Linked DNA regions of Mus musculus. The main gene of each other region encodes a partner of the protein of the gene in region 4 in a complex. Links are inferred from orthologs where the notes say so. Each region holds a gene or a part of one and is shown on either strand. Other genes may lie near its edges. The genes, in order: Polr2f, Rrn3, Taf1c, Ubtf, Polr1c, Polr1b and Taf1b.

Region 1 (3,553 bases), on a different chromosome or scaffold from region 4:
ACTTGTATGTGTGTACATTTACATACACAAACACACAGATAAAATAAACCTTAAACACACAGTCCCCGGACCAGAACAGTCCATGTGTACATGTAACTGGCGTGGTTCACAGAGAAGGAAACCACAGTGAAGGTGTCCTAGCAAACTGTGGGGACACATGGCACATGATTGGAGGCACAGAGTGACCCTCCAGAGTTTGGTTCCCTTGTTGAGATTTGCCGGCCCCTTGTCCGACACTGCTGAGACATGGGCTGTATCTCTGGTTCTGGCCGGTGATGCTCTAACCACCAGTTTCTTCTGGCAGTTTCGACGGCGACGACTTTGATGACGTTGAGGAGGACGAAGGACTTGACGACTTGGAAAATGCTGAGGAGGTCAGTAGCCAGCCTCGGCCTCTGCCCTGCAGCCCGGACAAGGGACGGGCAGCGTTCACCAAGGGCTTTCCCTGTTCACTTTCCAGGAATGCAATTCCATGGATCTGCTCCGGGCCTTTGTCTGAGTGCCACCTCAACTAGGTCTTGGGATAATCGTGTCGTCTTATGTATGGTTTGGTGGTGGTGGATCTTAGTATAGAGCCTGGAACTTACTATTTAAGCCAGACTGGCTTGTAGCTCACGAGAAATCAGCCTTCCTCTGCCACCTGAGTGCTAGGATTAAAGGCACAGGTAGAAGTAACTTTGGTCCGTTTTATTCACTACTGTATCCTAAATACGGTTCAGCATGTAGTAAGCACACAGCAAACAATTACTTTTTTTTTTTTATGTATTTTTATGCATGTGCACGTGTGCTGTATGCAGGCGCACTTACCTGTGCAATGCATGTGGAGGTCAGAGGTCATCCTCTCTCCTTCTCCATCTTATTTTTCAAGACAGGGTCTCTCTAAACTTGAGGCTCAGTGCTTCAATTAGGCTGTCAGCCAGCAAGCCCCAGAAACCCTTCTGACTCTACCACTAGTTCTGTGGCTATGCCTGTAGCACACTGCTACAGACCCAGACTTCTACATGGAGGCTAAGACCCAAATTTAGGTTCTCCAGTTTAGGTAGCAAGCAGGTTACTCTATGAGGCAAACCCTAACCCTTAAGTCTTGGTTTTAGAATCATGTAAACGGATCATGAGCTGCGCAGTTCTCTGGCAGCCGCCATTGCTATCAGAAACTCTTTGCTTTGTGTCAGATCACCATTATTCCTGTGTGCGTTTGTGCATGCGTGCTGCAGGGGATGAAACCCATGGTCTCGTGTGTTCTCTCTCTCTCTCTCTCTCTCTCTCTCTCTCTCTCTCTCTCTCTCTCTCTCTCTCTCTCTCTCTCTCTCGCCTAAATAGAGCAGAGGACAGCAGGTTCTTGCTCAGTATGTGTTTGACTCTCATTTACCATGACTGTTCTAGTCACCTGACCCAGTGACTCATTTGCCATATGAAAGAGCAGGTGTTTGTCCTGAGCTTCCGGTTCAGGGTGTGCTCACCACTTACAGGGCCAGCTGTTTGGGCAAGGCGGCTGGCTCTAGAGTTCTGAACACCGTCATCTTTACTGCTAGCTTGGAGGTTTTGGTCAGGTTGGCTGACTCTTGAAGCCCCTGGATTGGGGACCACAATCCTTACCTTACAAGGTTGCATGCGGTTAAGGATTGCGTGGTGTCAGTGAGTGGTTGCACGGTCCATGACATCCAGAAAGGGTTGAGGGTGGTGGGAAGTCTCTGTGTCATCATCGTCCTACCTGATCCAAAACTTGCCCTGAGATTTCCCCTCTTTGTTTGCTTGCTATCCAGGAGGGCCAGGAAAATGTCGAGATTCTCCCATCTGGTGAGCGACCACAGGCCAACCAGAAGCGGATCACCACTCCTTACATGACCAAGTATGAGCGGGCCCGGGTGCTGGGCACCCGGGCTCTTCAGATCGCGTAAGTGCTGCCCTTTGGCCGTCGTGTCTGTCAGTTCACCACAGTGAGCCCAAGCTGCTGGTCCTGCCCAGCCCTGGTGTGTCAGGACTTGTGCAGTGCTTTAGGGCACCTGTGGGAAAATGTAAGAAGTGACATGAGAAGTGACAGTAAGAACCCTGGTCAGCCGGGCGTGGTGGCGCACGCCTTTAATCCCAGCACTCGGGAGGCAGGGGCAGGCGGGTTTCTGAGTTCAAGGCCAGCCTGGTCTACAAAGTGAGTTTTAGGACAGCCAGGGCTATACAGAGAAACCGTGTCTCGAAAAACAAAAAACAAACAACAACAAAACAAACAAACAAAAAAGACACAGGAGGATCATGGGTTCACGGGCCTACCTGGACTACCGAGTGAGTTCTAGGCTAGTCTGGGCAACTAGCAAGACGCTGCCCCAAGATAAAGAATGAAAAGAGGTCTGGGGTGGAGCCCAGTACATGTGATTACCTGAGTTCAGAGAATTCCTGTCAGTTGGTCAAACAAAATAAGAGTGAATTCAGGCAAGGCTGCAACAGCTCCTTCTAGCTTACGCTGATGGGAGGGAGGCTGGCCAGCCCAGCCCAGTAAGCAGGCCCCTCACTTGGGAAAGTCTGGAGCAACGGTGGCTCTGGGCGCTAGGAAACTGAAGAGCATGTTGTTTTTCTAAATTTGGATGGCCGGCCAGTGAGCTCAGCCCATCCAGAGGAGGCAGGGTGTTAGTGGAACTCTAGTGGGAGACCCAAGCCTAAGGGAAACTGTTGGTATGGGGCGCGTGGGTGCTGCAGGATGGACTAGGGAGAAGGAAAAACACAGCAACAGCAGAACATTCTCCCATGGGGCTGGGGAGGCCTGCATAGGGCTGTGAGCATCCCTACCACGGGTTCATACAGCCCTGGGTAAAGTTGACTGCAGTGTCTGCCTCGGTAAAGGGTCTTATGTACAGTCAAGGTTGACCTCAGCCATCCTCAGCTATAGACCTTTCTTCAGCCTGGCTGCACTCTTGGCTCCTTGAGTAAAGCCACCTTCAGGGGGATATGTGGTCCTAGTGGCCTAAGGATAGTCTCTGTTATGGCACTCATTGGCTACATGTGGCCATTAAATCAGCCCTGTGAGGCAGTGCACACCTTTAACCCCAGCACTCAGGAACCAGAGGTGTGTTGATCTCTGTGACTCCAAGGCCAACCTGGTCTACATAAGGAGTTCCAGGAGAGCCTTGACTACACAGTGAGGCACCATCTCAAAAACAATAACAGTAAACCCCAAACAACCACCACTACAACAAAAAACACCTACCCAAACAAAGGAAAAGAAAGCACGCACACATACATACACACACACACCAATACTAGAGATACCTCAGATGCTCAGGGGCCTGTCTGTGGCTCCCAGTTAGCACGGGGACATCACAGGTACAAGACATTTCCAGTTTGCTGAGTGTTCTGGGACACATGTTCCTTTAGCTAAGATTGCCCTGTAGCAGGAAGCCTTCATTGTGCAAATCTAGCAGTGCTCACCACTGCACCTGTCGAGGATGCAGAGGTGATGAAGACATCACCTCTAGCTCCCCAGGGAGCTTCTGATGTAAAGGCAGTGTGGGCAGTGCCCTGCAAAGGATACAGAAAAGCAGGCGCCTCGCGGAGGGGCTAGAGC
Region 2 (3,553 bases), on a different chromosome or scaffold from region 4:
AGCAAAAGACTGAGTTCCAAGCTCAGTACTGTCTGTGGCTCCAATCTCAGGGGTTTGATGCCCTCTTATGACCTCCATGGGCACCAGGCACACATATGATGCACAGACATACATGCAAGCAAAATATCCATACACATAAAAATAAAGCTAATAAACCTAATATATTAATAAATTATATTATATATGTATGTATACATACACACACATGTATGTATATATGTATGTATTCCAAAATCACATAAACAAAGCCAGGTATGGCACACAACTATAATCTCAGACCTTGGGAAGCTTAGGCAAGGCAGCACACACAAATACACACAGACACAAATAGACATAGTGTGTGTGTCTCTCTCTCTTACACACACACACACATACACACACAAGAGGCCACGTGCATGTTGGCCCATGCCCTAGGACAAGGGTTCTCAGCCTTGCGTCATGACCCTGTTGAAGGGCCAATTGACCCTTTCACAGGAGCCATCTAAGATTGTTGGAAAACACAGATATTTACTTTACGATTCATTACAGTAGCAAAATTACGGTTATGATGTAAATAATGAAAATATTTTTGTGGCTGGGTCACCACAACATGAACTGTATTAAAGGGCAGCAGCATTAAGAAGATCCACTGGCCTAGGGGGATGTTGTCCTGGGGCAAAACAAGGCCATGATGCAGTGCAGCAGGATGAACTCAAGTAAGTGGAGTCGAAGGCACTGCTCGCTCAAGCTCCAAGTGCAGCAGCTAAACAGTGCATAAACAGCAGCGGAAGGAATAAACACTGTTCACCCTTGAAGTGAACCCAGAACTCCGTTCTAGGTTCATGACGTCAGATGCTCCGCGGTGACACCGGCCCTCAACTCCCTCACACATTTAAAAATAAGCATGACCGCTGTCAACAGAGTGACCCATAGAGGATAACGCCTTGGGGAACTGTGAGAAAGGCTCCAGGAAAAAAAGCAGAGGGCCTTTCATCTCAGGTGCGTTGTCCCCTGGATTGCTCTAGGAGATAACTCTGAACCTCTTGTGACAAACATTTACATTCAATTTATAAGACAGGTTTATTCTTGTTGGATGTGGGAACATAGCTGTAGAACCCAATCTGGTCAGTGGACCATGATCTGAATATGACCTCCTGCTTTGCTTTTGTTTCCCAGATATAAGCTATGGTACACGCCAAGCAGGGCTGCTCTGTCTGTTAGCATTTATTTGCATGTTTTTCTGATCATGTGTTTCTGAACTCAGGCAACCATCCTTGGTTCGCTGCTCTCTGTGTTACCCTCCTGTATAAAGCACACTGAAACGGAAGGGAGGCTGTCTGCATTAGACTAGACCCCACCCATTCTCTCAGGTCCTCAGATCCCAGGTCTCGAAGACAACACCTGCACAGGTCGATGGAAGTCACAAACTCAAGACCAGTAGCAGTGCCCTAAAGGTATAAGTACAATAAGAAAACCCAGCCTGAACCCTCACAACTGACCTTGCTTCAAGTTTCCACTCAAAAGCTGCTTGTGTCTAAAAACAACAGTGTAGAACACAGCTTGGCAGGCTGAATAAAATGGTCCATGGAGTGCAACGTCACAAAAAGCCTTTGTTCCCGAATCCTGGTTAGTAAGGTACATGTGCAGCCAGTTAACCAAGAGATCCAGGCATGTCTTCACAGTGCTAGAAAGAGAAAACAGTCAGGGTTATTGCTTTTATCAGAAAGCTAGAGACAGAAACACACACCTGTCTTTCACTATCCATTAGAGAAGGCTCAAATACTACCTATGGGCTGGGGTGTAGCTCACTGGCAGGCAACTGCTTAACATGCATGAGGTCTTAGGGTCCATCCCCATCACAAAAAAGAAATAAATCAATAAAGTAATAATAATAATAAACAAAAAATATAGGCAAACAAAAAACTCACCAAAACCCTTACCCACTAGCAGAGCAAAGCAGAAGGAAAAGGAAGGTGGCAGGAAGTTGCCTTCAGATTTTTTGTTGTGGTTTTCCATTTGTTTTTGGACAGGGTTTTTCTGTGTCGCCCTGGCTGTCCTTGACCTCAGAGATCCACCTGCCTCGGCCTCCCAAGTGCTGGGGTTAAAGGATGCCTTCCAATTTTAAGGTGAAGCAGTGCTAACTTTTGTAGAGCAAGAGGCCTTAGGGCCTGATTTGCAGAGCAAGACTTTGTTTCAGAAAAACACAATGAAACAAAACAAAACAAAACAAAACAAAACAAAACAAAAAAACCCAGGATGCAGCTCAGTTTTTCCAACTCAGCTGGGGTTTCCTGGGTCAGCTCCTAACCCACTGGGTTTGTGGCTAAGGATCTCAGCTTCTTCTGGTCACAGACTTTCAGTTGACTGGGGATGGGTTAACAGCATCTCTCTGAAAGACAGCTTCTGGAGCCTCCTGAAGAAACTGGCCTCCATCCCACATCTAATTACCTTAAAAAGGGTTTTCCTCAGGACAAACAGACACAAGGGACTTGGAAAGCAAGTGAAAAATGACAAACCTACAAAAAGAATCAAAACAATCTACAACACCATGCTATCCATGAAGACAGACAGGCTCAGGAACAACACATGAACGCATGCTTTCTAAAAGCCTCATGTACTTCTTCCAAAATGGAGCCCTCCCTGCCTCAAGCTGCTTCTTAGAAATAAAGACAGACGGGCTGGAGAGACGGCTCAGCGATTAAGAGCATCAACTGTTCTTCCGAAGGTCCTGAGTTCAAATCCCAGCAACCACATGGTGACCCACAATCATCTGTAACAAGATCTGACTCCCTCTTCTGGTGTGTCTGAAGACAGCTACAGTGTACTTACATATAATAAATACATCTTTAAAAAAGAAAGGCATCTTGCATTGTAGTGATCAGATTTCCCCCTTGCTTTACAAAGACAGACCAAAAGTATAAAGTCAATTTCTCTGACTAAGATATTAAAAAGCATTTGGAGAGGAGGGCTGAAGAGATGGCTCTGCGGTTAATAGCACTAACTGCTCTTACAGAGGTCCTAAGTTCAATTCCCAGCAACCATGGAATCGGATGCCCTCTTCTGGTGTGTCTGAAGAGAGCAACAGTGTACTCGCATAAAATAAATAAGTACATCTTTAAACAACAACAACAACAAAAGGCTTTGAGAAAATTAGGTTACTTACATAAGAGGAATAAATTTAGCTCTGGCCAAAAAGCTCCCAATATAATTTGCAGCAGCCTGCCTGATGATGGCGGGGTTATTTGGATCCTGCAACTTTTTCCAGAGATGTTCCAAAAATGCTTCTGCAAATCCCTGTAACAAGAGAGAGCGCTCGCTTGATCTTTCTAATGCTGAAGATCTTCTAGCTCTTAGCACCTAACACTGTAGTTACACACTGCTAACACAAAGGGGCAGCCGTGGTTCTTACTGAAGCCAACCCCGGCAGACTGAGCTCTCCCCCCACCCATCCCTTGTGTCAGTCCCTGCTCCCCAGGCCTCAGCAGGGTGACAGGGACTGCTTGGCCTCTCCTACTATCTCTCCAGCCACATGCCCAGCCCTTAACAGAACCCCTTCTCCCTCCATCTCTTCCTC
Region 3 (4,222 bases), on a different chromosome or scaffold from region 4:
GGAGGTCAGGGGCAAGGCCTTTGGACTTGAGGATTCTCAAGATTTTATTTCCAGTCACAAAACGGACCTGGGCCACCCCGTGTGAGTCCCTCAGGATTACACCTATCTGGGAGGGAGTCAGGCCTTTCTTGGGCAATTTGTAAATCTTTTCCTTCACGTCGTCAGACGTCAACTTCAGCCACGTGGGGACGCTACGGCGGTAGGGCAGCGCCGACTGGGACAGGCCCTTCCCGGGAGCGTGCATGCGACCCATGATGGTGGAGGTCTGGCAGCCCACGCCTAAGGTTTACCAATGACCAATCTGCTTTTCCCTTACGCTGCCGGGGATTTTGTGAACTCATGGCTCAGGACTGTGTGGGGCTGGAAAAGCCACTATGACGAAAACCTGGTCAGTGTCCCAGGTCCTTCCACATCTCACGGCAGGCCAGTCCATGGCTGCTCTCTCATTGGCTACTTGCCCCCAGGGTTGGTGTCCGCCGAGGTCCTGAAGCAGCTTCTTCGCGCTGACTATAGTCATCTTTTTCGAGTAGCCCTGCAGGGAAGGGCTGTCAGGTTGGTACCCTTGGGTCTCACCAGGGAGGCGGCTGACCATCCACCCGGTGGTGGCGGCTCCTTACCCGGTTCCCCTCCAATCTGAAGTTCTCCAGCATGAGTCTCCCCAGGGGTGCGAAGGCTATGTCCCCATGGTCCCACAGGAAGCGGCTGAGCTGGAGGGAACAGCTGTGTGAGTCAGCATAGCACAGGCGCTGAGAACCAGTCTCACCCAGGGACACTTACCTGCTCAGTGACATCCAGCACAGCCTGAGACTGGTACTGGTAGCAGTGACCTCCCCGGAAAAGGAAGTCCTGAGCTGTCACACCAGGGTCCCAGGGATCTAAGGGGAGAAGGAGATCAGAGAAGAACCTGAGAAGGAATGGGGACAGGATACCCCTGGAGGTCTGAGGTTCCCCTTGTGCGTGTGATGGCTGAGGTCCTTGGAGGGGGCCCAAAAGGAGAGAGACTCTTACCAGGATCAGGAGGCATCAGGAGGGGGAGGGGTCCTGGCGTCGATGGCTCCCACAGTAGGTTCTTGGCAAAGGACAAGGTCGGATCCTAGGGAAACGGGGCAGCAATAACATGACAGGTGTGCAATCCCTGCCAATTAACTAACTCAGTCCTCGGGACAAATGTGAAAAGGTGGTCACTTCGCTAATGAGGAACCCTGAAGCATGAGGCTGCCGCCCTAGGTGACAGAAGCAACAAACAGGCATGGACTTGAACCCAGGCAACCGACTCCAGAGTCTGAACTGAATTCTAAACTTCATTCACAGCAGCTTTCAAAGGAAGCGCCTAAGTCATGACTGCCTACCCACAACCCAATGAGCTCCAACTTCCTCAGCTATCTCCTCTGAGTCCTGCCATTCAGTGGGCACCCTTGTCCCAAGGACCAAGAACTCCCCTCCCCCAACACCCTCTCTTTGACATGCTCTCCTCAATGTACTCAATACAAGGCTGCTAGAGATGGACCTCCCAAGAGCAGAAATCCTGCCCCTGGCATTCCACTAATTCAGGCAAGTCAAGGCCACACTATAAAAGGTCTGCCCGTTGGTGTACAGTCTCTCACCATAACTGGAAGTCCCTTAGGTGGGGTTGCCTGACTTCCTCATGCTGGGCTCCTGGGCCTGTAAGGACCCCAACACATAAACACCTGCTGAACCCAGGGAGAGGGAGCGAGGAAAGAGGAGCCACAGCCTCTGTTGAGAGACACTGTCTGGACAGCAGGGCAACCGGTGCGCAGCTCAAGTAGCAGCTGCCTAGACCTCTTTTCCCAATAAGTGAGCAAGGAGGAGGAACAGACCAAGGAAAGGACCCTATTTCCATCCTCACCTTGCAGTTCTGTGGCTGGGACCCTGGCAGGGTCAGTGCATCTCTCCAGCTGCACATGAAGGACAGGTCAGGGCCATCAGTCATGCCAAGTGGACCGGCCTTAAACAATGAAGGGCGCAGGGTGCCAGGGAAGTCCATCCTGGAGAGAATGTATCTAACGTTACACACGCCTTCATTAGGAGTCTCAACAGTGCACCAGGGTTCTCAGAACACAGTAGGGGAGACCACTACAAGGTAGCAGATAAAGACCAGACTATGCCTAATGCCAGCGCGTCAGCAGGGCTGCCCAAGGACTGCTCACTCTCTTGAGGGCAGCCAGACAGATATCTCTGCTCACACCTTGGAAGAGGGGCTGGGGAGAAAGTGATCGCAAAAGGCCTCGTGGCAGGTAAAGTGCCAAAGAGATAAGCAACCACAGAATATACAAAGGGGAGAGTGTGGAGGACCAAGTGATGCCGATGAAGGCTGAGCGTTCATCAACGCGCTGCGCATGACAGTAGCAGGCTGACTTTCTTCCACCCCTCTGTGGACATGGGCTGCGTACTATTCCTGCTTCCCCACTGCCAAACACAGGCTTCTCCGAAAATGCCCGTGGGCTGAATAAATGCAGGAACTCTTTAGAAGCAGTAACTGTCAAGTCAGCCCTCATTTTTAGTAAAAATTAAATCTAACATCCGCAATAAGAGCACCAGCAGAGCACTAGTACCCGCTGGACAAGACGTGAAGGCGCTGAATTTAGAGTCTGAACTGAAAACCGGTGTGTAGTAACCACAAGTGTTCCCGGACCGCCCTCCCTCGTGGCCAGCATCTAGGACGAGCCTCAGCGCTGTAATCGACCAGTCTCTATAGCCACGTGGTCTGCCACGTGCTCTCAGCATTCCCGCAACAGCCTCACCTGACCCCGGGGCCGCAAAGGAGCCAGAGTGCCGAACCTCAACGCCGCCACCCACAACTGTTGGAGCAGACTAAACTGTTTTCCGGATCAGGCCGGAAGTTCGCCCGAGAAACAGGAAGTCCCGCCCCCAGATCATCTAACCGAGTCCTCCAGCGCCACCTGCAGAGCTGAGGGCCAATATGCATGGTCGTGGCGCCTAAGCTATGAAATTTCCATCCTATTTCACAAAAGTGTTGAGAAGCTTGAATTGATCCTCTCAACGAACAAGTGAGCACCTCCGATGAGCCACGCACTGTATTTATTACCCACAAGTCCTAGAATCCGCTTCATAGACACCTCTGGGTGCATGTGTGGCTTTAACAGGGGCCAGGAGGGAATATTAGCTTGTCATTCTCAAGCTAATATTCCTTGTGTGTGCACCTGCGAGTTTTGGGGGATCTGTTCAAACTCGCTCGCATGCAGCGAGTCCTGGGCTCTGCCTGTAAGTTGCCTTGGTCCTGACACTATCGCGTAAAACTTAGGACGCGTGGCTCTGCTGACCACTTGCTTTCCATCGCCTGGAGGCTAAGAATATCTTCAGATAGAATCGAGACAAGGAACAGATTCTCCTGCGTCACTGCAACCTACCTACATGACATTCCCGCCAATGTGTTTGACGACTTCTTTGGGTTTGACTTTCCTTTGTCCTGTAATTATCAGAACTTCATAAATCGGTCTTCATGGTGGAGCAAGTTATTCAGGGAGAAAAATCTGTGTTCCTGAGTTTATTAAGGGATCTCTAAAGGAACAGAACTGATTGAATGAGTATGGAATAGAGGAGATTTTATTAGACCGGCTTACAGGCTGTGATCTGCGTAGTTCAATAATAGCTGTCTTATGACAGAAATGGCAAGGAGAATTTGGTACTGTTCCGTCCACGAGGCTGGTTGTCTCAGCAGTTCTGATCTGGTGCTGTAGTCCTGGGCCATTCCTAAAGAGCCGCCGAGCTTCAGTCTCTGTTGGAATCCTAAAGAAATTGATTTGAATACTGAAAGGAAAACTTCAGCAATGCCATAAAATAAATGGTTTTGCCGGTGAGGGTGAGGTCCAGCAGGCACAAATCATGGTTTCTTTTTCCATTTCTTTTATCTGGGCTGCCACCAGAAGGTGATTTAGGATGGCTCTTCCTCCTTCAAATAATCTGATTAAGAAAATCCCTCACAGGGCTGGAGAGATGGCTCAGCGGTTAAGAGCACTGACAGCTCTTCCCAAAGTCCTGAGTTCAAATTCCAGCAACCACATGGTGGCTCACAACCATCTGTAATGGGGTTTGATGCCCTCTACTGGTGCCTCTGAAGACAGCTACAGTGTACTTGCATATAATAAATAAATAAATAATTTTTTTTAAACTTCCTCACAAGTGTGCCCAGCAGTTTGGGTCCCAGTTAATTTCAAATATTCAGTTGACCACCAAAACTAGC
Region 4 (4,309 bases):
GGGAGGTTAAAAAGCGGCACACGCCCAGGCCTTTTCTCCCCAGACTTGCTGGATGGTGGAATACGGGAGGTTAGATCTGTGGTTGCCGGGCTGCTCAAATCCTGCCTTAAACCGGGGTGCGGAGCTCTCTTGTGGGCTCCCCGTCGTCGCCGGGGTGGGGGGACAGCGCCCGCGGCCTGCTTTCTCAGGGCTGGCCAAGCCTTTTTGACAAGCTGATTGCGAGAAGGGGATTGGCTGATCCAGGCGTGACGCCGGTAACAACAAAGGTGGAGTTGGAAGAAATTAGATTAAAGGAAAGGAGGAGAAAAAAAAAAAATTAAAGGGGGAGCTTGCAGGCAACTGGAAGCAGAGACCGAGGGGGAGACGCACGAAGCTCCGTTCCCGGTTCCGACTTCCCCCTTCCAGCTCTTTCGCACAAACGCGCTGGGATTTTGCTCTAAACCCCTACCCCGGTCGCGGCCTAGTTACTGAAGCCCAGGGTAAAGGGATGGCCGTTCCGCTGCTTCTTGAAAAACCTCCCCAACTCCCACTGACACCCTACTACGACACAGGGGTGAACTTTTTGTTCTTAACTCCTCGGATCATACGGCCGGTGAAGATGGGGGACATCGAGAACAACCCAAGACTGGCTCTGAAATCCGGAAGGCCCTCGCCGGGCACCGAGACCCAAACGAGGCGGGGTACTTCCCGGGTATTTTCATACGTTGCAAACCTAGGAGGCTTTTTTTTTTCCCTTTTTCTTTTTTGTAACATTCCCCTTCGCCCCCATCCCGCTTTAGCTTCAGGGTTGCAAAAGCAAAGCAATAAAAAAAAAAAAAAAAAGAGAGAGAGAGAAAACCTGCGCACACAGACACACACCAGTGGCGACAGGGGAGAGTTGGAAAAACGCAGGAGAGGAGGAGGCAGGAGACAGCAAGGATGGAGCAATGGGAGAGGGAGCAGGCAGGATCCCTCACAGATCCCCCTCCGGCCTCAAGCTGCCTTGCCCGCCCCGACAGGAGAGCGAGGAGTCGGGCAAGCAGATGGAGTGGAGCTCGCTCTAGGCAGCTGGCTTGGCCGGAGACTGGAGGAGCCGCCAAGCGACCGGCTGATTGGAAGAGAAACGCAGAGCGATGGAGGCGGGGGTAGGAGGACGATTTCTCTGCGGGGACTGGCGGCGGCGTACACGCCCGGGTCGGGCGCTGCAGAGCTTGGCTAGCTTTCAACCCGCGCTCGGCGGCTCCAGCCCCGCGCACCCCCGCCCCCAGCCCTGCCGGAGGCCCCGCAGGTGAGTGGGAGCTGGGAGCCAAAAAAGAGCTAAATGTCGAAAAACATCTGCCTTGGAAAAAAAAAAAAAAGCAAAAAACATTTTTTTTTTTTTTTTTTACTATTCCTTTTTTTAAAATTTCGTGCAGCCCCCGAGCGGTGGGAGGGAAGGGGTGAGGCTGAGCCGCCCGGAGGAGGCGGAGGGGCCAGGCGAGGCCGGGGCGGCCCGGGAGGCGGCGGCGCCAAGGCGGCTCTGACGGGCGAGCGCTCGGAGCGGCGCTGCGCTGCGCTGCGCCGAGGCGGGCGGGCGGGCGGGCGGAGCGGGGCGGGCGGAGCGCGGCGCGTGGGGCTCGCCATTAGCCGTCGCTCCGCTTCGCCATCTCGGGCTTTGTCTGGAGACTCGCTGCCCGGGCGCCGGCAGCTGCGGAGCTGCGGCTCGGCTCTTCCGCTTGCCGTGCTGCCTGGCGCCCCCGGCCCTCACTAGCACCCACTTGCTCGGTAAGTAAGCCTCGGTGCCGCGGATTTCGGGGGAAAGGGGTTGCTCTCTGGCGGCGCCAATCTCCGTCCTCCACGCGCCCGGGAAGGCCTGGATAGCCATGCCGGGCTGGATTGAACCGGCTCCCAGAGTGACTCTTCCGCTGGGGTCGGCAGCTCCTGGCCGATTCCCGGGTGTGAGGAGGGACGGGAGAGGTTTTTGTTGTTTAGGGGACTAAGAATATATATTTTAAGTTTCACGGGTGTTCTGCGGAGCATAAGGGAACCGAGAGGTAGGCGCCGAAACCTCGCACCGCGATCCGGGAGCGTGAGTCCCAAGCCGGTAGCCACGCTCCGGGGACCAGGGTGGTCGCTAGCCCGCTCCCGGAGGCGGGAGAGAGGAGCAGATGAGGACTAGGCCGGGAAACCGAGCTTAAGCTGGGAGAGCCTGGAAGAGAGCTCCAGAGCAGGGTTGCCGGCACCCGCGAGGCTCGCCGGCCACCCTCTCCACCGCCGCACCTCGGCCCTCCCTTCCTCCCGCGCCGGCCAAGCCTGCTAGTTCCCCCGCGGGGCTGGCGAGGTCGCTTTAGCCGCCCGCTTGCTCGCCCGCCTCGGCTCGCAGCCCCGCCGCCATCCGGGCGGCTGCGTGTCTTCCCTGTCCCGGCCCCCCCCTTCCCCGGCGGCAGCAACAGCAGCAGCCGCCGCCGCCACTACCACCACCCCCCTCCCCTCCTTCCTTGCCTCCGCCTCGGCCGCCCGGGTCCCCCCAGCGCCCGCCCCTCCTCCCAGCTGCCCCCCGCGGAGCCCGCCCGGGCAGGCTGTGGGAGGGAGCGGAGCCGGCGAGGCGGGCGGGCTGGCGCTCGCTCCCCGGGGGTCGGTGTGCGCTCTACGGGGAAGGACGCGCTCGCTGCCCCGCTTCTCCCGCCCCCCCTCCCGCTCCTCCTCCTCCCTTCTCCCTCCTCCCCGCTCCGGCGGCGGAGGCTGCTGCGGCGGCGGGGGGTGTGCGAGCTGAGGCCGGGGCCGGCGGGCGGGCGGGCGGGCTGCCTGCAGGCGGAGGGCGCTGTGCTTTGTGCTTTTCGCCGCGAGGAGCAGCAGGCAGCAGCCACAGCCGCCGCCGCCACAGCAGCAGCAGCAGCCGCCGCCCCAGCGCCGCCGCCGCGCCCGGAGGAGGAGCCGCTGCCGCCGCGGGAGGGAGTTGCGGCTGTGCCCGGCCGAGCGGGGGAGGGCGCCGCGCTCAGAGCCGAGAAGGGAGCCGCCGGAGCGGGGAGCTCAGAGGCCGCGCTGCGCCGGGTAACCGAGGCGGCGGAGGACGTGCGCCGGGGCCGGGGCTAGGGAGCGAGCCGCGGCTGCGGTAGACGCCGAGTGGCGATACCGGGAGAACTGTAGACAAGATGATCAGGGAACGGGGAAGGGCGCCGTGAGCCGGGGGTAGGAAGGGCAGGAAGCGAGGCCCAAGTGAGGCCCCGGGTGGAGGAGCCCGCGTTTCTCCGGCCGACAGGCGCAGTTCTCGCCGGCCGCCGGAGGGGGCGGCGGGGCCGGTGAGCGAAGCGCCCCCGCCTCGCGGCCGCCGTCCTCCCGCCCTCTGCTTGGCTCGGCTCCCCGGAGGCCGGGGCGGGGGCGCCGGCAGGGCTGGGCCGCAGGCTCGGGGAGGAGGCGGCCGTTCCCGCCGCGGTCGCGCCTCTGCGCCGGGTTTCTTCCGTGCGTGTTGGGGTGGCTGGGTGGTGGCGGCGGCGTCTCCGGCCCCGGGTGGTTCGGGGACGGGGGACAAGCTAGGCCGCTTCTCCGACTGCTCGCCTGCCCGGACAGGCGGGGACCGCGTTGGGAGGTCGGGAGGGGGGTAGCAGCGGGAATCCAGATCTAGTCCCCGGGGGCGGTCCGGCCGCTGCGCTCCCGGGCTGGCGGCGGCTGCGCGGCGTCCGGGTCCCCGCCGGGTTGCGGAGGCGGGGGGAACCGGCCGGGGAAAAGCGGGAGGAGGAGACTGAGGCGCGTGCCCGCTTCCATGCCCGCGCGCGCCCTTTACCCGCCCTTCCTCCCCCGCCCTCCAGCCTGGGGCCTCCCCGGGGCGGGCGCTCACCGAGGAGGAGGAGGAGGAGAATTTTTTTTTTTTTTTTTTGCCCGGGTGGGGGAAGGAGGCCGGAGGGCGGGAGCTAGCTGCACGCGGGAGCTGGGAGCAGTCTCTCGCGTGGGCAGGGGAGGGCGCATGCGGCACCGCCTGGCTCTGGGGGCTGGGGTAGAGAAGAGTGGGGCTCACTCCTGCACCCACTGATGAAGTCTATGAGCCTCCTGTTCGGGTCTCGCTGAGAGTGTGGACCTATGCCCCCTCCCATGTGTGAGGGGGTGGGATAGAAAGCCCCCCTCCTCTCAGCCTCCTTAAGTGGGTTTGGTGTCTCTTCAAAAGGGTGAGGTGGCTTTGACCCCGGGTGGCCCGGCCAGCGCGACCGAGGAGGTGGCTGGACAGCTGGAGAATGAACGGAGAAGCGGACTGTCCCACAGACCTGGAAATGGCCGCCCCCAAAGGCCAAGGTATGGGTCCCCAGCTTCTCTTTTCAAACTTGTCTTTTTTCACACACGAGCTCTCCAGCCTTGTAAA
Region 5 (4,219 bases), on a different chromosome or scaffold from region 4:
TACCTTTCACCAAGTATTCACAACATGTTCAGTTCAGTAATGGGGTTGCAAGTAGGGGAGTCCACCAGAGCTCAGGGCTCTGAGTCTGAGTGAAGTCTGGATGAGGGTCTAGATGTGAGGACAGATGTCTCAGAGAAGGCGCCTCACCTGCTTCGGACCTGGGCAGGCTCCACATCAAAGTAGGGTCTGAGGATGTCAATGTTGGCATACAAGCTGAAGGCCCTGGAAGCCTGTCTCTTCCCTGCCTGCCACATCTGAAGGGAAATGGGTATGATGAGACTCTTGGCTCTAGATTGTTATTCAGTCTCGGCGAGATTTACGTGTGGGTCTAAGTGGAAAACCTCGATCAATTTAGGACATGCATAGGTCCTTTTTTTTTTCCCCATTGGCTTACCTGATCTGCTACCTGCCGGCTCAGTTGTCCTTTAAAGCCTTTCATGCCAAGAAACTCCCCATCCTCTTCTTCTGCAGCAGCTGCATCAGCATCTACTTCTTCCTCCCGCAGGCGCTGGTGCAGCTCACCCATGTCCTCGAAGCTGGAGCCTGAGGTATCGTCCATGTTCTCCATATCAATCACAGCCGAACCCCCACCCTGTGAAGACAACGGCTCGGAGAGTGAGGGGCCCTTCCATTGCATCCTCCCCGTTCTCCGCTCAGCTGACAACTTGAGGCTTTGATCTTCCACTGCCGAGGACATGGCTTGGAACTGCCACTCTTTCAGTGGTGGCAACTCTTGGTCGCGTCACTTTTGTGGTCCTGGAAACCCTACTATTTATTTTCAATCCACGTTGTTTTCCTACTTTCCACCTCAAAGCTCCAAAGAGTTGCAAAAGAGCCCATCTGCCATTCCCAATTCTCAAACAAGCCTATTTTTAGGGGGTGCCAGTGGATCCTAGCCTCCAGCCCCCACAGAGAGCCGAGGCCCGCGGGAGCCCTAGTTTGTCCCTTTCACGCCAGCACAAGAGCTACACCCTTCCCCGGGAAGACTCAAAGGGGACAGGCTGCGTTTCAGCGGAGCCGACCTCTAGGCCCCGCGAGAGAGAACAGCAGCCACCGTCCGGACGCCGCCAGCCCGGGGCTGCTGGCAGCAGGCGCGCTCCATACCTGGATGTTTTCTTCGAAGCCTCCCCATTCCGGGCCAGCACCATTTCGGACGCCGCTGGCCGGCGCCGCCGGAGTCGCCATGTCCCTCGAGGCTTCCCGTCGCTGGAGCACGCGCGCGTGGGAAGAGCGTGCGACCCGGGTCCGAGGGAGGGAGAGGTTCAGAGGGGCGACCGCCCGGGCAAGGTGGGGATCCGCCGGGACGCCGAAGGGAGAAACCCGGATGTTTGGCCCCACTTGACGTCCGGAAGTGAAGGACGTGGACAGAGGCGGGGCAAGATCTCGCGACATTCAAGATTGCGGGAGCCCGAGCGTTGCTGCGGAGACGCAGGCGCGGACTCGCCTCCTTTTACAGCGAGTGGCGGAAGATGGCGGCGGCTCAGGCGGTGGAGGAGATGCGGACTCGCGTGGTTCTCGGAGAGTTTGGGGTTCGCAATGTAAGAGATCGGGGCGCGGGAAGGATGAGGGCGGCACGGGGAAGTAGAGGCCTGGTGTGAAGGCTGGCCACACTGCCCTTTCTGTTGGCTCTAGGTCCACACCACGGACTTTCCCGGTAACTACGCCGGTTATGATGATGCCTGGGACCAGAACCGCTTCGAGAAGGTGGGTAGAGCTGAAGGTGCCCAGTCGGCCCGAGGGGCCAGACCTCGCAGGTTGGGGTGGGGGTCGCTGTTTCCATACAACACGCTTGAGCTCCATGGACGGGTCAGACACGGTGGTTGCTCTCGGTGGGATAATGGACCACACAGACAAGTTATTCCAGAATAGTAAGATAGCGGTGAAGATGGCTGGGATATGGTCAGGAATCATTGATGCACTGAATCCAGCTAACTGAAGGGACGTAGTTAAAGGTCAGTGAAGGGAATGGCATTTGAATTAAGCTTTGAACTATGAATAAAAGTTGAGTAGTGAAGGCCTGATTGGAGCTTCATTATATATGATTTTTTTAAAATTCACTTTGAAACTGTTTCTGTTTAGCCCTGGCACTCTCTCTATAGTCCAGGCTGGACTTGAACTCAGCCATCTACCTGCTTCTGTCTCTGCCTCCCATGCACTGGGATTAAAGGCATGAGCCACCACGCCCAATTTAGAATTTTTGAGTAGACTGATAACATTTTGCAATCTTGATAGCCAGGAGGGAATGAATTCTGGTGAATCTGCCAGCTAGTGTATGCAGGCTGAAATTGGGGGCATAGATGAACTCCAGACAGTACTAACGGAGTAAGGCAGGGAGAACTAGACGATTTGCACCAGTGCTCTGGGGAGGCAGTGTGTGAGAGAAAGGACTTTGTAACTTGAGGACCCTAAAACTTTCTTGATATGCGTGTTTGCCTGCATGTGTATTTGTGCACCACTGTGTGTTAGTGATCCCTGCAGTGTGAGGAGAATGTTAGGTCCCACCAGGTGCTGGGAACCAAACCCAGTTCTTCTGCAAGGGCAGTTAAGTGCTCTTAATAGCTGAGCCATTTCTCCAGTGGCACTGGGGAACTGTTGCTGGCTGTGTCGTTTGCCAAGCAGGAGAACAAGAATGAGGGTACACTCAGGTGCCTGCTTGTGAAGTCTATGTGCTTGCTTGAGCCAGGAGCATGGTGGAGGTCAGCCAGGGGATTAGAACCTAGGAGACAGGAACGTTTACTGTGTGGGTGGAAGGGGAAATTTAGAAAGAAGAGCAGATAAGGAAATTGGTGTTCAAAATCCAAGGGAATGTAGTTGAGAAAAGTAGGTATTAAAAAATAACGACAACAGACATGCAAGTATCAAACGGTCTAAGTAGTGTGGGAAGTTCTGCTTTTTGTATAGTAACTTCTCTGGGTGGTTTGTGGAAAATCTGGGAAGATTGGGCATAGTGGCGCACACCTTTAATCCCAGTACTTGGTAGGCAGAGGTAGGTGGATCTTTTGAGTTTGAGGCCAGCCTGGTCTACAGAGTTCCAGGACAGCCAGGACTACATGGAGAAACCTGGCCTTGGAAAAACCTAAAAAACAAGAAACACACAGCCTTGCCCCCAAGAACAGGACTGGAGACAAAATGTCTACTGAGCACCATGACTTTAGGGTGAGGGGATAGTGCAGGGTAGGAGCCAGGCAGGAGTCATGCAGGAGCTTCCCTCCTTCTAGAATTTCCGTGTGGACGTGGTGCAAATGGATGAAGACACGCTGGAGTTCGACATGGTGGGGATTGATGCTGCCATCGCCAATGCTTTCCGGAGAATCCTGTTAGCTGAGGTATTAGAGGACGTGGGCTGGAGGGTAGAAATTGTATCAATTTGTAGACGCTTTTCTCAAAGCCATCCCTCTGGGGCAGGTAGGGTGGTTCACACCTATGACAGTCTGGGCTACATAGTAAACATTGTATCAAGAATCTGAGCCACACGCCTTTAGTCCCAGCACCCCAGCACTCGGGAGGCAGAGGCAGGTGGATCTCTGAGTTCCAGGCCAGCCAGGGCTATACAGAGAAACCCTGTCTCAAAAAACCAAAAAAAAAAAAAAGAATCTGAAGGGCAAAATGAAAAAGTGCTGCCTCTTCCTTTTCCAGGCAGGGGGATGGGTGGAGGTCAGTTGTCTGCTTTGCCTCCTTGGGCAGGTGCCGACAATGGCCGTGGAGAAGGTCTTGGTGTATAACAACACGTCCATAGTCCAGGATGAGATCCTTGCTCACCGCCTGGGGCTCATCCCCATCCTCGCTGATCCTCGTCTCTTTGAATATCGGAACCAAGGTGAGGCTGAGAGCTTGGGATTATGAGTTAGGCAGAACTGACCTGGAATGCATGGGCTCAGGTCCCAGGCCTACTGCTGGGGCTTTAGTTGGCATCTTGTACATCTGCCTTCGCCTGGGAGAACAGCTGTCCCCACCCCACCTCTAGTCTCACTGTGTACACCCTCGGAACACAGCGCTAGCAGCACTCAGGCTCTCTCCACCTTTACATTCTTCCTGGGGATTGAACTTGGGTCTTCAGGTTGGAGCAAGCATGCACCCTCACTCTGTGAGCCTTCTTGTCAGCCTGGTATTAGAGTTGATATGGCCAGGCACGGTGGTGGACAGCTTTACTCCAAGCACTGGCAGAGGCAGGCAGATGTGTCCTGAGTTCAAGGCCAGCCTGGTCTGCAGAGCAAATTGC
Region 6 (3,553 bases), on a different chromosome or scaffold from region 4:
GGCTGGCCTGAAACTCACTGTGTGGATCAACTCACAGAGATCCACTTTAATGCACGTCGTCCACCCCACCCTGGGATTAAAGGTGTATACACCCAAGCCTGGCTATGTCATTATTGTGGGTGGCCAAGGGAGGTGGGGAGGGGGGTCAGTTTAGTCACTTGGTATCCTCTGACCACATGTAGAGGTCAGAGGATCAGAGGACAGCACGCCAGGTGTTGGTCAGGGCGTGGACTCAGGTTGTCAGGCTCCACAGCAAATTCCTTTACCTGCGGAGCCATGTTTCTGGTCCTAGGTTTCCGAGTTATCCATAGACATATTTACATGAATACTGAACCACCGAAGCATTGTAGAAGCTGCCTGCAAAGCTCCCTGAGCTGACTGGGTGGTTCCTGTACACTTTCCTCCGTTTTAGCTGCGAAGGTAGCTGTGGGCTATTGAGGTGAAGGAAGGAAGATGCAACAAACTCTGCATATTCCTAAGAAGACTGTCAGGCCTTGGGAAGAAGGTGTGGGTGTCAAATCAGGATGTGACACTCAGCCTCCCTGTTTGCCAGTTGTGGGGCTTTGGAGAATTTAAGTCACCCTAAGCCTCCATTTCTTCTAGTGAAGCAGGCCTACCTATCACTAGTGAGGCAGGCATACCTATCACTAGTGAGGCAGGCCTACCTATCACTAGTGAGGCAGGCATACCTATCACTAGTGAGGCAGGCCTACCTATCACTAGTGAGGCAGGCCTACCTATCACTAGTGAAGCAGGCGTACCTAGAAGAACCATGTGCTTCGTTCACAGAGCTGCAGCGGGGGTGTCTGTTTGATAGCAGACTGTTAGTATATACTCTTTTTTTCTTTATCGTTAAACGTATTTTCCTAAATTTGTCTGGTCCGGATTTGTAGTTAGCAGAGCTCTTGGGTAGTCAACCTCTTCCTTTGTCATTATTTTCTTAGCTTACCCGGGAGCCCATTTGAAAGCAAAAGTGGTTAGTATTTTTATCTTTAGATTTTTGGAGCAAGTTTTATTTGTTTAAATTAGGAATTGAAATAAGTTGGGACAGAAAGAAAAGTGTTACTGAGCCGTCTGGTTGGAAGGGACGGCCCTGTCTTCCTGACATCCTGTTCTCTGTGTCTATTGGATCACACTCGTGTATTTGACAAGACTTACCCTGGAGCTTGTTCTGTTTCCAGAGCCCGGCACGTGCCTCTCCTGAGGGTTGCACTTTGTTGGCAAGAAATACTGTGTCTAGTTGTTTAACAGCTGACAACCATGTCTTTGGCAGGAAATGGGCGGTTATTTTATAATCAATGGCATAGAAAAAGTCATCCGCATGTTGATTGTGCCCCGGAGAAATTTCCCCATCGCCATGGTAAGGCCGAAATGGAAAAGCAGAGGACTCGGCTACACTCAGTTTGGTGAGTCTTAGTGAACGTCAGAATGTTGCTTTAGACAACCTGAAAACCATTAACAGCTCTACAAAATAGTTGTGTTTCCCTTACATTATTTTTGTTTTTCCATTAAGCACTTCTATGATGTTCAGGGTGAAGGTTGGGGGGGGGGGGGAGTGTTGATCCATGTGTAAACTTTAAGTTACAGGCTAAGGACAGGGCTGGGAAGTGGCTCAGTGGGAAAGCATGGGGAATTTGGTTTGGGTCCCCATCACCCACATTTAAAAACAGCAGAGGGGCATAGCAGTGCTCATCTCTGATCCTAGCACTGGAGGGGAGAGAACAGGAGCCCCAGGCAGGGGCTACAGCTAATTTAGCCAAGGTAGAAAGTTTGAGGGTTCAGTGAAGACCCTGTCTCAAAAAAGCAAAGCGGAGAAGCGAGTGAGGAAGACCCCTGTGCCTGAGTGGGAGAATAACAGCCCCCCACATGTGAACGAACACACACATACTTGAATACAATCTAGTGCTAGTGTACAGCACTGGGACTGTAGTTAATGATACTGTTTTGCTTTTGAAATTTAAAAATTAAGATTTTTAAGTGTCTGGTCCCACATGTACAGACATGCACAGTTGGTGACTATATGTGGTAATTGATATTTTCATCAGTTTGATTATGGCCATTGCTATGCATGTTTCTCAGCTAGCAGGGTTCTGTCTTCATAAGCCTGGAGTAAATTGAAAGCAGAGTGCTTTAAAAATGCACTTAAAGGGGCTGGAGAGATAGCAGTTTCAGAGCTTGTAATCTTCAGAGAACCTTAGTTCAATTCACAGCATCCATGTCTGACAGCTCTAATTTTATTTATATATATATATATATATATTTTTTTTTTTTCTTTTTTTAATGCACTTAGAGCCAGGCACGATGGGGCACACCTTTAATCCCAGCCCTAGGGAGGCAGAGGCAGGTGGATCTCTGAGTTCAAGGCCAGCCTCGTCTACATTGTGAGTTCCAGTACAGGACCGTCAGTGTTTCATTAATAGACCCTATCTGGGGTGGGGTGGGGTGGGGGTGGGGATAATGTTCTTAGAGGCAGGGACTGGTTTGGTGGTAGATAGCTTGTCTGACCTGCAGAAGTTTCTGGGTTCATTACTTGACACCGCACACATAATAATGCACTCAGTACACTGACCTGCACACATAGTAGCTTAGCTTAGCAAGCCCAGATGTGATTAGAACAGTTATTAATACAGCAGCATACACTTTGAAAAACTCGACTAAAGCAAAGCCTGTTTTATGAGCGAGTGTCGATGAAAAACTCGACTAAAGCAAAGCCTGTTTTATGAGCGAGTGTCGATGCTCTTGTGCTCGCACACAGATTGGCTTTTTGTACATGTGGCGAGCCTGTGTAAACACTGTTCGAAACACTGGCGACCCCGGAGCCTGAAGAGTGTCAGCTGGTTTTCTTTTCCATCTCTGCGCTGGTTGGGAGCTTTGGCTCAGCGCTGCTGTCCAGCATCCTGAGAAAATACACAGCACTGTTAACCTAGGAGCAGGTCTCAGTTCAGAAGTGAACTGTGGTTTCTCCTGAGTGGATCATGGTTAGTTGGCACCATTGTATATGTGTATAAATTGGCGCCCTTTGTATATGTGCATCAAATTGCTTTACTATATATATGCTGTTTACTAAGAAAACTTGAGATATAACCCAGAGAGTGATTTCATAATGAAAATCCTTTGTATATTTTTCATCTGGAAGATTCCATATATTTATGGTGTTGTTTTTGAAGACGAAGGCTAGCCTGACTGAGTACCTGTGAACAAAGGCCTCAGAGGCCCCCTGGTTCAGGCTGCCTTGGCATAACCTCAAGGGGGACTAGTCTGTGTTCAAATGCTGCCTGTGACAGTGCCTGGCACCATAAGATAGCATATGGCATTCTCTATAAAACTTTTATATTACATATATAAAATTTATTTTTATAGTTGAGATAATAATCATCCTGTAATTGTTACCATAGATACAACACCTAGGAGAGCAGCATCTCAGAATGTCAAAACATGTAGCCACTGGTCCTTTTGGTCTGATAAAGTATCTATAAACCTGAACTCTTGAGTTCTGCTGTTCTCCATCAAGATGTTAGATAAGCAACCATGTCTGGACCAGTCCCACAGGGCA
Region 7 (3,553 bases), on a different chromosome or scaffold from region 4:
GTTTTTTAGGAATGAAAAATCCCACAGTCACCACTTACACTAAACAAGCATAATTCCTAATTACACTTAAACGTATGTCCTTATGCCCACAGGTGAGTGTACTCCTCCTCCTCCTCTTCCACCTTCTCCTCCTCCTCCTCTTCCTCCTCCTCCTCCTCCTCATCATCATTAAGGAAATTTCTCTTTGCAACAGATGGAGACTATTACAGAAAGTCACAACCAATCAAACTGCAGAGGTGTGGAGCCCAGTCCTAATGGACATATCCACAAGGCACTCTGACGCCTGAGGCTCAGGGCACATAGCAGAGGAGGACAGGGATTGGAGGAAGCAGAGGACCAGGATTTTGCTGTGACACTGTATCTCCTAATGTCAGAAGTGACACACATAATGCCTCACACACATGGCTGCCTAAACCAGAACTGAACAAGGACAATGACAACAGAGATGCCTAAGCGGACAGGGAACCCATGAGGCCTCAGGCAGCTGAGGAAGGGGAGAGTAGACTTCCCCAAGGAAAAGCCTGAGCACTGCTTATTCAACAGCAAATGGTCAGCTCTGAAAACACACAACAAATAATATTATACAGACTGAGCAGGGTCTATTTATTTAAGTATTATGACAAATGTATGTATACACATGCATGTAAGCAACAATTAATGGAAAAAGAAACAAGATAGTGCATTTGAAAGAGACCAAGAGGTATATGGAAGGGTTTGGAGGGAAGAAAGGAAGATGGGAAATGGTGTAATTATATTATAACCTCAAAAAGGAAGAGAAAGGACCTCTTCAGCCTGAGTTGGAGATTTTATCACACCTCAGGCTTTTGGAGTTTTAAAAACATGCGTACCTTTTGCAGAACTTCTGGGTACTGAGCCAATACAGGGAGTTCTTGGTTATCATGGACTGGCCTTTCATTATCAGGAGTCCCTGGAGGCTGTGTCCATGGAAACAAGGGCTATCAGTGCCTTCTTCAGTCCAGTTGAACTGAAAACTTGAAGGGGCCTGCTTTTCAACCACGGGTGATGAACCAACCAGGGCACTAAATTGTTTTTGAAGATTCTCCACCATTTCTGGAGATGGAGGGAAGAGAAAAATGTTACTGCACAAGGAAAGCCAGCAGTCACGGGAATGGATTGCTTTAGGGGGGACACTCCGGGGCCTCCTCCCTCCCTTAGCCTCCTGAGTGCACACACACACAGCTGGTTTCCTAACTGCAGGAACATACGTCAGAGCATTAGGTGAGGCTGGAGCTGCAGGAGGGGCTCAGACAGTTACTTAACGAGGGCTTCCTGACAGAGCTCTCACAGTCACGGAAACAGGACCTTGGTCTTGCAGGGAAACTGAGCTCTCTATGAAGGAGCAGGCAAGTTTCCAGGACTTTTATGTGACTTCCCCTTTGGCAGGAGATATACTCGAGAGCATCCCCAGGGAGTGGAAAGTATGTGCATGCCCTTGCTTTTCCTGTGGACATGGTTGGCACTCCCAACAGTGCTGCTACATGGCACAGAAATGAAACCATCAGACTCACTTCTTCTCTTATATGCGACGGACTTATCGATGTGTGAACGGTAGAGTGGCCTTTTGGTTTTCCAAGCATACCTGTACAAGGCAGAACAGAGGTGAAGCAGAGTGAGAAGCAGGTGCTCAGAGCTCTGAGACAGGCAGGACCTGACACTCAGCAGCTCTGGGTGCTTGTCTACACTCTCTCAGTACTTCTGCTCCAGAAGGAAACACCCAGAGAGAGCAGAGCATCAGTGTGCCCCTCCTAGGAGTCAAGGACCCTTTAGGAGCCATTATCCAGAACACAGCAGAGAAGGCTGCCATCACCGTGTGGCACTCCTTTGCTCTTTACTCTCATTGCTGTTTCTCTTTGCCGCAAACGCTGATAACTGAGGGCTGTGCCCTCTGATTCTAGAAACCCATACAAAATAGAAGGTGAGTACCTGTCTCTCTGGTACCCAATGCCTGGAAACCACCCTCTTCCTGCTGAAAATAAGAAGGAAAGATCCAGATTCTAGCAAGACAGACCTAAGAATCTGATCTTTTGAGAGAGGGCCAGTTAGGCATGTTCACTGCAGAGGGGGTGCTGGGATGATCTGGTCCACAGGGTACCCCCCTCCCACTCCCCACCAAAGGTTAAGTGCTATCTGGCTTCCTGCGATTGACTGGTGACCATTTCTGGTCCAGGCAGCCATCAGTACTGCCCAGCAGAGGATGCCACTGTGGAACAACATAATTCGATGTTTTCAAAGCTCATTTCTATTCTCCTGCACTTCCTTAAATAGGAGCCTTCCAGAAACCACAGTAAAAAAAAAATAATCCACCTTCTTGATCCAGGCTACTAAAAAATGAGTAATAAAGACAGCATGGTGCAGAAGAAGACACTGAGTCAGAGGATCTGCTCAACTTCTGCATGTGTTCAGCAGCCTGAGTGACTATGAAGGTCCTGGAACTGTCTCTGTCTCCTTTATCCTCTCTAGGGCACACAGTAGGCATTCAACTTAAGGGTTTTTGTTGTTGTTGTTGTTTGTTTATCTTTGTAGAATTACATCATTTTAATGCCTCTATGCCTCTCATAAGATGTGGGGTCAAGGTTTTCCCATTCATGTTTACATTCCTCAATACCCACTATGGCTATATATTCTTTTTTCTTCTCATTAGTTTACTTATTCATTTACTTCGCACCCTGATCACAGCCCTCCTCCGAGGCCCCCCTCACTCGTCCCTCCCCCATCTTCTCTCTCCTTCATCTCTGAGAAGAGGGACCCCTGCTCCCCCGGTACAAACAATCTTGGCACCTCAAGTACATCCTCTCCCACTGAGGCCAGACAAGGTGGCCAGTCCAGTTAGGGGAACAGATCCACGGGCAGGCAATAGAGTCAGGGTAAGCCAAGTCAGTTGTTGGGGGACCCACATGACTACCAAGGTGAACATCTGCTACATATGTGCCGAGGGCCTAGGACTGGCCCTTGTATGCTCTTTGGCTGGTGGCTCAGTCTCTGGGGTCCCCAAGGATCCAGGTTAATTGACTCTGTTGGTCTTCTTTTAGAGTCCCTGTCCTCTCTAGGTTCCTTGTTAATAATAGATGGGATGGCACACAGTAGGCATTCAACTTAAGTATTCATTAATAATGGACTAGATGAATACATGAGCCAACAAACACATTTAGCATCTGTGCCCTGTTTCCTGCTCTTACAGGGCAGTTATGAGGACTAATTTACATCGTATTTGTGAGGCTTGCAATAGTGGTGACACATGCCTTTTATTCCAGTACTCGGAATGCAGAGACAAGTGCCAGGCCAGCCAGAGCTACATGGTGAGACTATATCTTTTTTTTTTTTCCGAGACAGGGTTTTTCTGTGTAGCCCTGGCTGTCCTAGAACTCACTTTGTAGACCAGGCTGGCCTCGAACTCAGAAATCCGCCTGCCTCTGCCTCCCAAATCCTGGGATTAAAGGCCATCATCTAAAAAAAAAAAAAAAAAAAATACAGTTGTGCTGCTCTGTGCTGCAGAGAGTGGTGGTACAGCCTGAGCTACACAGTGAACTGAGGC

Evidence for each region.
Region 1: Ubtf (region 4) and Polr2f share a complex: the UniProt entries of both Homo sapiens proteins name them as parts of the pol I pre-initiation complex. The link is inferred for Mus musculus from reciprocal best matches to the Homo sapiens genes UBTF and POLR2F.
Region 2: Ubtf (region 4) and Rrn3 share a complex: the UniProt entries of both Homo sapiens proteins name them as parts of the pol I pre-initiation complex. The link is inferred for Mus musculus from reciprocal best matches to the Homo sapiens genes UBTF and RRN3.
Region 3: Ubtf (region 4) and Taf1c share a complex: the UniProt entries of both Homo sapiens proteins name them as parts of the pol I pre-initiation complex. The link is inferred for Mus musculus from reciprocal best matches to the Homo sapiens genes UBTF and TAF1C.
Region 5: Ubtf (region 4) and Polr1c share a complex: the UniProt entries of both Homo sapiens proteins name them as parts of the pol I pre-initiation complex. The link is inferred for Mus musculus from reciprocal best matches to the Homo sapiens genes UBTF and POLR1C.
Region 6: Ubtf (region 4) and Polr1b share a complex: the UniProt entries of both Homo sapiens proteins name them as parts of the pol I pre-initiation complex. The link is inferred for Mus musculus from reciprocal best matches to the Homo sapiens genes UBTF and POLR1B.
Region 7: Ubtf (region 4) and Taf1b share a complex: the UniProt entries of both Homo sapiens proteins name them as parts of the pol I pre-initiation complex. The link is inferred for Mus musculus from reciprocal best matches to the Homo sapiens genes UBTF and TAF1B.

What each region holds. Positions count from the first base shown.
Region 1 is NC_000081.6:79,144,290-79,147,842, forward strand, and holds part of Polr2f (DNA-directed RNA polymerases I, II, and III subunit RPABC2), read left to right. Parts: intron 1-304; coding exon 305-374; intron 375-1,763; coding exon 1,764-1,894; intron 1,895-3,553. UniProt on the Homo sapiens protein: DNA-dependent RNA polymerase catalyzes the transcription of DNA into RNA using the four ribonucleoside triphosphates as substrates.
Region 2 is NC_000082.6:13,804,669-13,808,221, reverse strand, and holds part of Rrn3 (RNA polymerase I-specific transcription initiation factor RRN3), read right to left. Parts: intron 3,274-3,553; coding exon 3,143-3,273; intron 1,664-3,142; coding exon 1,479-1,663; intron 1-1,478. UniProt on the Homo sapiens protein: Required for efficient transcription initiation by RNA polymerase I (Pol I). Required for the formation of the competent pre-initiation complex (PIC).
Region 3 is NC_000074.6:119,602,373-119,606,594, forward strand, and holds the start of Taf1c (TATA box-binding protein-associated factor RNA polymerase I subunit C), read right to left. Parts: upstream 2,835-4,222; 5' UTR 2,763-2,834; intron 2,007-2,762; 5' UTR 2,006-2,006; coding exon 1,868-2,005; intron 1,094-1,867; coding exon 1,009-1,093; intron 876-1,008; coding exon 778-875; intron 708-777; coding exon 618-707; intron 533-617; coding exon 459-532; exon of another isoform or gene 386-458; intron 275-385; exon of another isoform or gene 1-274. UniProt on the Homo sapiens protein: Component of the transcription factor SL1/TIF-IB complex, which is involved in the assembly of the PIC (pre-initiation complex) during RNA polymerase I-dependent transcription.
Region 4 is NC_000077.6:102,316,282-102,320,590, reverse strand, and holds the start of Ubtf (nucleolar transcription factor 1), read left to right. Parts: upstream 1-1,494; 5' UTR 1,495-1,743; intron 1,744-2,535; exon of another isoform or gene 2,536-3,009; intron 3,010-3,303; exon of another isoform or gene 3,304-3,417; intron 3,418-3,885; exon of another isoform or gene 3,886-4,117; 5' UTR 4,118-4,184; coding exon 4,185-4,242; intron 4,243-4,309. UniProt on the Homo sapiens protein: Recognizes the ribosomal RNA gene promoter and activates transcription mediated by RNA polymerase I (Pol I) through cooperative interactions with the transcription factor SL1/TIF-IB complex.
Region 5 is NC_000083.6:46,245,214-46,249,432, reverse strand, and holds the start of Polr1c (DNA-directed RNA polymerases I and III subunit RPAC1), read left to right. Parts: upstream 1-1,387; 5' UTR 1,388-1,469; coding exon 1,470-1,538; intron 1,539-1,632; coding exon 1,633-1,704; intron 1,705-3,218; coding exon 3,219-3,326; intron 3,327-3,684; coding exon 3,685-3,817; intron 3,818-4,219. Other genes in the region: protein YIPF3, read right to left, coding at 148-254, 395-592, 1,105-1,185. UniProt on the Homo sapiens protein: DNA-dependent RNA polymerase catalyzes the transcription of DNA into RNA using the four ribonucleoside triphosphates as substrates.
Region 6 is NC_000068.7:129,103,976-129,107,528, forward strand, and holds part of Polr1b (DNA-directed RNA polymerase I subunit RPA2), read left to right. Parts: intron 1-1,273; coding exon 1,274-1,406; intron 1,407-3,553. UniProt on the Homo sapiens protein: Catalytic core component of RNA polymerase I (Pol I), a DNA-dependent RNA polymerase which synthesizes ribosomal RNA precursors using the four ribonucleoside triphosphates as substrates.
Region 7 is NC_000078.6:24,554,037-24,557,589, reverse strand, and holds part of Taf1b (TATA box-binding protein-associated factor RNA polymerase I subunit B), read right to left. Parts: intron 1,601-3,553; coding exon 1,530-1,600; intron 1,072-1,529; coding exon 849-1,071; intron 1-848. UniProt on the Homo sapiens protein: Component of RNA polymerase I core factor complex that acts as a GTF2B/TFIIB-like factor and plays a key role in multiple steps during transcription initiation such as pre-initiation complex (PIC) assembly and postpolymerase recruitment events in polymerase I (Pol I) transcription.